Sus scrofa: one gene and its partner. The protein of the gene in region 2 interacts with the protein of the main gene of each other region in a pairwise test. Links are inferred from orthologs where the notes say so. Each region holds a gene or a part of one and is shown on either strand. Other genes may lie near its edges.

What was found. The genes of interacting proteins can lie anywhere in the genome.
Region 1: the proteins of TMEM79 (region 2) and PLP2 interact in binary tests that used the Homo sapiens proteins (3 or more experiments, as listed by UniProt). The two-hybrid records come from large-scale screens. The link is inferred for Sus scrofa from reciprocal best matches to the Homo sapiens genes TMEM79 and PLP2.

What each region holds. Positions count from the first base shown.
Region 1 is NC_010461.5:43,213,900-43,218,200, forward strand, and holds the start of PLP2 (proteolipid protein 2), read left to right. Parts: upstream 1-1,472; 5' UTR 1,473-1,638; coding exon 1,639-1,734; intron 1,735-2,823; coding exon 2,824-2,976; intron 2,977-3,070; coding exon 3,071-3,166; intron 3,167-3,703; coding exon 3,704-3,794; intron 3,795-4,019; coding exon 4,020-4,042; 3' UTR 4,043-4,301. UniProt on the Homo sapiens protein: May play a role in cell differentiation in the intestinal epithelium.
Region 2 is NC_010446.5:93,766,007-93,770,321, reverse strand, and holds the start of TMEM79 (transmembrane protein 79), read left to right. Parts: upstream 1-1,481; 5' UTR 1,482-1,809; intron 1,810-2,859; 5' UTR 2,860-2,902; coding exon 2,903-3,662; intron 3,663-3,916; coding exon 3,917-4,130; intron 4,131-4,315.

The DNA.
Region 1 (4,301 bases), on a different chromosome or scaffold from region 2:
CTAGCCTGGGACCTCCATATGCTGTGGGTGCGGCCCTAAAAAGACCAAAAAAAAAAAAAAAAAAAGAAGAAGAAGCTAGGTGTCTGAAGGGCTGGGAAAAGGATATTGACAGCTGTGGGGACAGCAAGTTCAAAGGCCCTGATGCAGAGCAGGGTTTGTTCTGTTCTAGAAACTCAGGCACGTCCTCAAAGAGTTGGAAAGCACACAGTTGGCTCTGGGAAGTGTGCTTCATGCCTTCCACTATCCAATCACTCTTCAGGCAACCTGGGCTGAAAGAGGGGAGCCCCTTCTGTGGTTGTGTGGGACTCCGGGTTGGGGACGGAAAGCAGACCGGCCTTGGTTGAACCATCCTGGCCTTCCAATGAGATGAGAATGAAAGCAACACCCACTCTGGAGGGTGTGCCCCTCAGCACATCTTGGGGGAGATCCTGATGCCCGTGACCAGGTGCATGTCGCAGATGCAGAAATTGAGGCTGAGTCAGGAGAAATTACTCGCTCAGGATAACACGCTCTTCAAATGTCATCAGCCTGTTCACCGAGCCTGGCACCCAAGAGCCTTGCCCTCATCTTGCCAAGCTCCCAGCAATAAATAAGCCTGTCCTCCTTCCCCATTCTTCATCTGGGACTGGGCTGACAGACCCTTTACTTAGAAGCAGGAAACAGAAGCTCAGCACTTAGGGCCAAGACCTCCCCAGAATTGCAGAACAGAGAATCATATCTTGGGCTCTGACACTATTAAAAAAGTCCACCCTCATCTACTCAGCAGCGTGATGCTCCACAGGCTCTGTTCTCTCTCTGTCTCGGGTCTGTGCACTGGCGAGGTCCCATTCCCATTGCTACTAAGAGGTTTATTCCACCGTCTATGACCTTTTGTCCACAATTCCAAAATCCAAAAAAACTCCAGAGACCCACAGTTTTCCCACAAAGTTGGGCACCATTTGGTTCATTTGGTTACAAAACTTGACTTAACCAGGAGTGATTTTTGGTCCTGGCTTATCCCACTTGCTGTGAACGGCCACACCATTCCATGAGGAAATAACGTGTTTGTTTGTTAGTTTTTAACCGGGCAGTCTCAGACACCGCTGAGAAAAGTCATATATCTTATATGCACTGGGAAAACTCTCTAAACCCCGAAATATGCTGAATTCTGAAAACGGACCTGAATTTAACCCTGGCTTTGGCCCTTTTTCCAGCTAAGGAAACTGAGGCACTCCCTCCCCAAAGCCAAAACATTTCTGAGTTGAGGCAGCCCCAGGCACATTTGTATTCTAAAAACGGGAAGGGTCGTCTCCTTTCAACACACGTTACGAGGAACTGCCGAGCCTCAGAAGCTGGTAGTTCCCCCCCCCCGCCGCCCGAGATGGGGCGCCCCGGGGCGGGGTGGGGGGCGCTGTGCGCTGTGCGCTGGGCAAGGAGAATCCTTGGCGGGCGGGGCGAGGGGCTTCCGGGGCGGCAGCCACCTGGCCCAGCCCGCTCCGGCCCCGCCCGCTTCTGCTCCGCGCGGTGATTCACTCCCTCCTTCGCCCCGGGGCCCCCTTCCCGGCCAGACGGCGGGGAAGACGGTTGGGTGTGCAGCGTCCTCGAACCCGCAAGCAAGCGAGCAGCTCCTCGGCGCCCTTCGGGACTCAGGTCCACGCCATGGCGGATTCCGAGCGCCTCTCGGCCCCGGGCTGCTGGGCCGCCTGCACCAACTTCTCGCGCACCCGAAAGGGATTTGTCCTGTTGGCTGAGATTGTAAGTGTCCTGGGACTGGCTGGTGGGCAAAGGCGGGTGGAGTGGCTGGATCACGCGGACTGGGGCAGCCCCGGGGGAGGCAGGCTCGCGGCCGCGGGTGATCGGCAGTGGGGCGCGGGGTGGGTGGGTCGGTGACGGAGGCCCGAAACCAGGGGCACATGCAGGGCGAGTCAGTGAGGTTTGGAGAAGGTGGTCGGCAGCTGCTGGCCCATGGAGTCAGGCACGAGGCCCACAGGGCATACGGGCGACCCCGCGGAAGGAGACCCCGTAGATTCATTAGTGGACTCATAGAAGGGGTTCCCGGGGCTGGGTGGTGGGGGATCCTCCCGTGGCAGGGCGTGGCGCGGCCTGGGCAGTGGCGGGCGGGCTGGCAGAGCGCCCAGGGGCGGGACCTGTTGGGGTGGGGCCCCCGCGCGCGCTTGTCCCGCGGGGCAGGGCCACCCGTCCTACCCCAGTTCTTCCTCGCTCCTCTGTGACGGGGCGGGAGGTCCTTAGCTATTGGGGCCGCTCGGGAGCCTCGGTTTCCCACCCCCGGCAAAGGGGGTGCCTCCTTTGAGTCGCTCGTAAAAGAGGTGCGGCGCCTTTAACAGAGCCCTGCCCCTCCGGTGTCACTCGCACCGATTCCCAAAGGGGTTGCCCGGGGAACCGCACGTCCCGCCCCGTCAAAGCCCTGAAGCTGGCGCCAGCAGCGCTCACAAAAACCACCTGAAGGCACCACTCCCCTTGGGCTATCCTAGAAGGGAAAAGAGGGGAAACTGAGGCACCCAACCCTACCCCTCCCTAGCTAGGTGACCCTGGATAAGTTACCTCGTGTCTCTCTGTTCCTCTCTTTTCTCATCTATGACATAAAGGTATTAATAATAGTACCTGGCTCATTAGGTTGTTGCGATGATTGAGGGAATTAATACCTGTACAGCTCTTAGAACAATATCCCAAACACAGTATGCACACATTAAGTGTTTAGCTATTGGTCATCTTCCCAGTCCTGGTGGGCATCTGAGTTTGAGACCCTCCCCACCCCCAATTTAAACCCACGCCCTCAGCCCTTGGAGTCGATCGATCGAAGCCCCCTTTCGCCTATCTTTCCAGGTAGTGTGCCTGGTGATTCTGATCTGCTTCAGTGCCGCGACGTCAGGATTCTCTTTCCTGTCGGTGATAGAGATGATCTTTGCTGCTGTCTTCTTTGTCATCTACATGTGTGACCTGCACACCAAGATACAAATCATCAACTGGCCTTGGAGTGTGAGAAAGGGGCCACAATGACCAGGCTAGGGAGGGGCTTGGGGAGGGGGGGGATTTTGAATGCTGACTTTCCTCTTCTCCCTGCCCTTCACAGGATTTCTTCCGAACCCTCATAGCAGCCATCCTCTACCTGATCACCTCCATCCTTGTGCTCGTGGAGGGAGGACACAGCTCCAAAATTGCCGCAGGGGTAAAGGCTGTGGCTCTGAAGCACTGGGAGAGGGGTTTGAGGCTCCCGGGGCCATTTGTGTCTCTGCTTCTGTCAGAAAGTGTGTGACCCACAGGAGGTCACACCTGTCCTCAGGGCCTCCTGCAGAAAAGGCTGACTCAGGTCCTGGTTTTCCTCCCCCAAGTGTCATTGGCAATAAAGGGCCACAATTTGTCCAACACAGGGACTTGTGTGGGAAGCACAATGAGACGGCCCCTTTGTCAATACACTAGACTACCATCTGCTAGAGCTTTGTCTCCGTGTACAGTATGAATGGGGCCGCCTATATATGGGGCCACTCTGTGGCTGCACTGTGTTGAGAGGTACTAGGAAGGGGGAGGGTGGGGGTAGAGACTCATCTCTGGCCTTTCCCTGGGGCTCTCTGACTTCTCAACCTGGGGCTTTAGTCATCATCCCTGCGTGGGGTAGTCATTGAAGGTGGTAGGTACAAGGAAGTAAAAGAATGAGGAGTGTGACCTGCCCTAATCCAACCCACCTCCTTCTCATCACCCTCTCCAGGTACTGGGCCTACTGGCTGCATGCTTGTTTGGCTACGATGCCTACATTACTTTCCCCTTGAGGCAGCAAAGACATACAGCAGCCCCTACTGGTAAGTGTGTGGGTGTGTTGGGGGGGGGGGGGCGGTGTGGTTAAGGGGACTGAGAAAGCAAGAGGTCTTCCAAGAGCACGAATGCGAACTCTGTCCCTTCTTGGTACTCAAGGCTTTAGTGCCAAAAAGTACCATAAGCTTCAGTATACTTATCGGTAAAATGGGCGTCTTAAAATCTGTAACAGGAACCTGCCAATGCTGTTTCTCTCTTCTCCTCATTTGTAGACCCTGCAGATGGCCCCGTGTAGGTGAACTCCCTTCGCGTGTCTCAGCAACCTGCAAATAACACCTCCATCGCAATAACTCCTTCCCGCCCCTACTGAAAGTGCCTTTACCGGGAGACCATGCCTTCCAGCCTGCCAATCAACCCTCCTGGGCGTGGCCACCCTTATGGGTCCGCCTAGGTCCACCTTCCTTCTGCAGTATCCAGAGACGCTAGTTCTGCCTGGACAATGCCCCCACCTAAAGCCACAGATTTCAGACTCCAGGCCCCAGGTTGTGACCCTC
Region 2 (4,315 bases):
GCACAGTTGCAGGCCAGGGGGCCTGCTGCTACCAAATCTCGCGAAAGTCGTTTTCCCTCCCGGGAAGTTGCCAGAACTAACTCTGGGCGGCATGGCCTCTTTCCGGCTTCTGCAAGCCCTTGTGAAAAACTTTATTGACAAAGTTGCCAGAGAGCGAACAGCGGACTCTAAGGAGGGCTGAGCCTAAGCAGATGGGCTCACAGCTAGGAGTGTGGCTTTGCCTTGTCTGACTGTGGTCATTTGGTTCGTTTTTCTGTCGCCCCCATTTGAGTCGAGCCTCTTTCAGGTTACTAGTTACAGTGATTCTAATTCTCTCTTTTCCCCCATTATTTAAACAAGCAAAAAACTTGTATGTGAAATTTTTTTTGGAAAGAACCGAGTATGACAAGGCCTTCCAAGATAAGACTCTTACACAGACACCTCAGCCCTTCAGCTTCCGACCCCAACCCAAAGATTTCCACTTGCATGTTCCTCACTTACTGTTCCAGTAAACATTTATTGAACATCTGCTGTCTTCCAGCCACAGTGCTGGATTTTGGAGTCACAGAGATGAGCAATTCAGACATTGTCCCTCCCCTTACGAAGCTCTAATGACTTAAGGGGAAAAGATCCACAGGAATGAGAAGTTACACCCTTACATTTCTGCCCCCTGGTCCTCCCATAGGAAAGATCACTGTGGATTCCTATTGCTGTCTTTTTTTTAATGGCCACACTCTCAGCATAAGGAAGTTTCCAGGCTACAGATTCAATCCAAGCCATGGCTGTGATCTATGTGACCAGAACCACTGCAGTCACGTTCTTAAACCACTGTGCCACGGTTTTTGTAACCTTAAACCTAACCTAAAAAGCAAGGTGCTTAGGGAGATGTTCCTGAAACAACCTGTCTTTCCTTTTTATTGGCCTTTCACTTGTTGTTCCTCTGCCTGAAACACCCATTCTCCTGATTCCCAGCAGGTCTCAACTCAAATATCACTTTGGCAAAGAAATTTTCCTATTGAAATTGTCTTATTGATTTATTTTCTAGGCTTCTTTATTATCTGCTACCCCAACAGAACAAGCCCCTTAAGTCCAGAGACTTTGCCTGTCATCTCGTTCTTTCCTATGTCTATGCCCAGAATAGTGCCTAACTAATAACAGGTGCTCAATAAATATTGAATGAATAAGTGTAGAAATTCCACCTCTCTTTTGGGTGTTTTCCAACCTACTCCAACATCCTTTTTTTTTTTTTGGTCTTTTGTCTTTTTAGGGCCACACCGCAGCATATGGAGGTTCCCAGGCCAGGGTCCAATTGGAGCTGTAGCTGTCATCCTACACCACAGCCACAGCAAAGCAGGATCCGAGCTGCGTCTGTGACCTACACCACTGCTCACAGCAATGCCAGATCCTTAACCCACTGAGCAAGGCCAGGGATCGAACCTGCATCCTCATGGATACTAGTAGGGTTCATTAACCACTGAGCCATGACAGGAACTCCCCAAGCACCTTCTGATGCACAAACCCATTCTTCCCCCTTTGCTTTCCTGTGCTGGGAGTTCCTACAAAACCCATGTTCCTAGAACACACTTACCTCTAGGCTCAGCTGCACCCCCACTTTCAGAGAGCATGACGTCCTTCTCTAAGGCTTTTTCTGTCGGCAGATTCAGCAGGGCGGGGCCTGCCCTTTAATCTGGGCCCCACCTGCTCTGGTCAGACAGGTTTGGAGACCCAGGTAAAGGGAGGGAGACGGAGAGAAATACTTGCAGAGCCAGCAGCGAGCTAGGCAGCTCCTTCCCGGACGCTGGGGACCCTCTACCTCTCTCCAGATGGAAAGTAAGTGGGTGTCACGGGTCCAAACATTAAGGGATCGGAGGTCCTTGAGCAGTGAAGGGAGGGAAGTTAGCCTCATCCAGAAGCAGTGAGATGGAGGACGGCAGGGAGGGGAGAAAGACAGGAGAGGAGGCATGGGAAACAGCTTTGATTAGACCTAGAGGTCAAAATGGACAGACCCAGGCCCTTCAGATGTGGAGTGGGTTGGTGAGAAGTTTGAAAACCGACCAAGTATCCAGATTGGAGACGAAAGAACAGGGTCCCCTGCTACTGCCAGCTCCTTGGGACAGATTTGTTGGCAAATCGTTGGTATAAGTTGCCAGGAGAGTTCCAGTCCGGGGTCTTCAGGGGAAGGCAAGGTTTGGAAGTGAAAGGGAAGCTTCTCTGTCCACGAGAAGGTCTTTAGCAAGAAGAAAGCCCTTGGCAAATTTCTAGACACCTCCTTTTCCTCTCATTCCTGCATTTGGGTGGCCATGACCCCAGGGGTTTTGGTGGAGAGGGGCAGGAGATGTGGGTGGAGGCGAGGCCACAGCTGCCAGGGCCTGTGCCCCCTGACTCACCCTCTCCTGGTGAATAGCATTTGATGTCGAAAGGGTGTCTCCATTTCAGCTGCTCACTTCCCTCCTGCCTCACTCTATTTCAACACAAGGACCATGTTCTCCCTAAGGTCCCAGATGGGGCTAAAGCCCACCGTAAGACCAGCTGAGCTTCGGTTCTATCAACCCAGAAAACAGCAGCTTTTTTTTTTTTTTTTTTTTTTTTTTTGGCCTTTTTATTTTAGGTCCGCACACGGGGCATGTGGAGGTTCCCAGGCTGGGGGTGGAATCGGAGCTATAGCTGCTGGCCTATGGCACAGCCACAGCAAGGCCAGATCCAAGCCACGTCTGCAACCTATACCACAGCTCGTGGCAACGCCAGATTCTTAACCCACTGAGCAAGGTCGGGGATTGAACTCGAAACCTCATGGTTACTAGTTGGATTCATTTCCACTGAGCCACTACAGGAACTCCAAGAGCAGCAGCTTCTGACAGAGCTTCCCTCTGCTCCTTCCAGGGTGACACGACCTTACGGTAGACCCCAGAAGTGAGGCCCCAGGATGACGGAACCCGAGGCCATGGCCCTGCTGGAGGTGAAGGGGCCTGCAGCCCTGGAGAAAAGCCCACCCCAGGCCTTGGTCCCCAATGGCGAGAAGACAGAGGGGGAGGGTGGAGCTGAGTCTCCCAGAGCCGAGTCCTCCAGAGTGGGGTCTTCAGCTGGGTCTCCCACAGCCGGACAGGGGACTGAGGATGGGCTAGATAGCACAGTAAGTGAGGCTGCCACCTTGCCCTGGGGGGCTGGCCCCCAGCCCAGTGCCCCGTTCCCAGATCCCCCAGGCTGGAGAGACATTGAGCCTGAGCCCCTCGAGTCAGAGCCAGCCACCAAGCTGGAGGAGTTGCCCGAAGATGACGCTTGCCTGCTGCCTGAGAAGGCGGCCCGAGCCTTCGTGCCCATCGACTTGCAGTGCATTGAGCGGCGGCCACAGGAGGACCTTGCTGTGCGCTGTGAGGCGAGCGAGGGCGAACGCCGCCGGACCTTCCTGCCCACCCGGGCCGCCCCCGCTGAGCCCCCTGAGCGCAAGTGGGCTGAGGCAGTGGTGAGGCCGCCTGGCCGCTCCTGTGGGGGCTGCGAGGGCTGCGGAGGCCATGAGGGGCTCAGGGCTGTGGCCTCCGTAGGAGCTGCTTTCATCCTCTTCCCCTGCCTGCTCTACGGGGCGTATGCCTTCCTGCCCTTCGACGCCCCGCGCCTGCCGACCATGAGTTCCCGCCTCGTCTACACGCTGCGCTGCGGGGTCTTTGCCACCTTCCCCATTGTTCTGGGTGAGCCTGGGTCCTGTGAAAAGGGAGGGGGCATCTGGGAGCTGGACTGGAGGGCAGGGCCTTCCTGGCTTGGAGAGCAGGAGAGTTTCCCCTTGTGAGACCTGGACCCTCGGGGGGGCCCCCCCGCTACCCTGTGTGCCCACCTCTGCCCCACAGTGTAGAGCCCATGCCCCTGAGCTCTCCACTATGGACCCTGCCTCCAGCTTCCTGCCTGCTGCTCCTCTTCTGACCCTGTGTTCTCTAACCCCACCCAGGGATCCTGGTGTACGGGCTGAGCCTGTTGTGCTTTTCTGCCCTGCGGCCCTTTGGGGAGCCACGGCGGGAGGTGGAGATCCACCGGCGATATGTGGCCCAGTCGGTCCAGCTCTTCATCCTTTACTTCTTCAACCTGGCGGTGCTTTCCACCTACCTGCCCCAGGACACCCTCAAACTGCTCCCTCTGCTCACTGGTCTCTTTGCCATCTCCCGGTGAGTTGGGGCTGGGGGTGCGGGACCAGGGAGGTAGTGGGGCTAGAGGGACCCAGGCCTCTGAATGTCTGGAGGTCCAGGCCCAGGGAGCTTTCTGGATTCTGGATCGGCCTAGATGTGCTTGTGGGAAAGGTGAATCCACTTTCTCCCTCGCACTTAACCTCACCTGGTAGCAGGTGATCAGC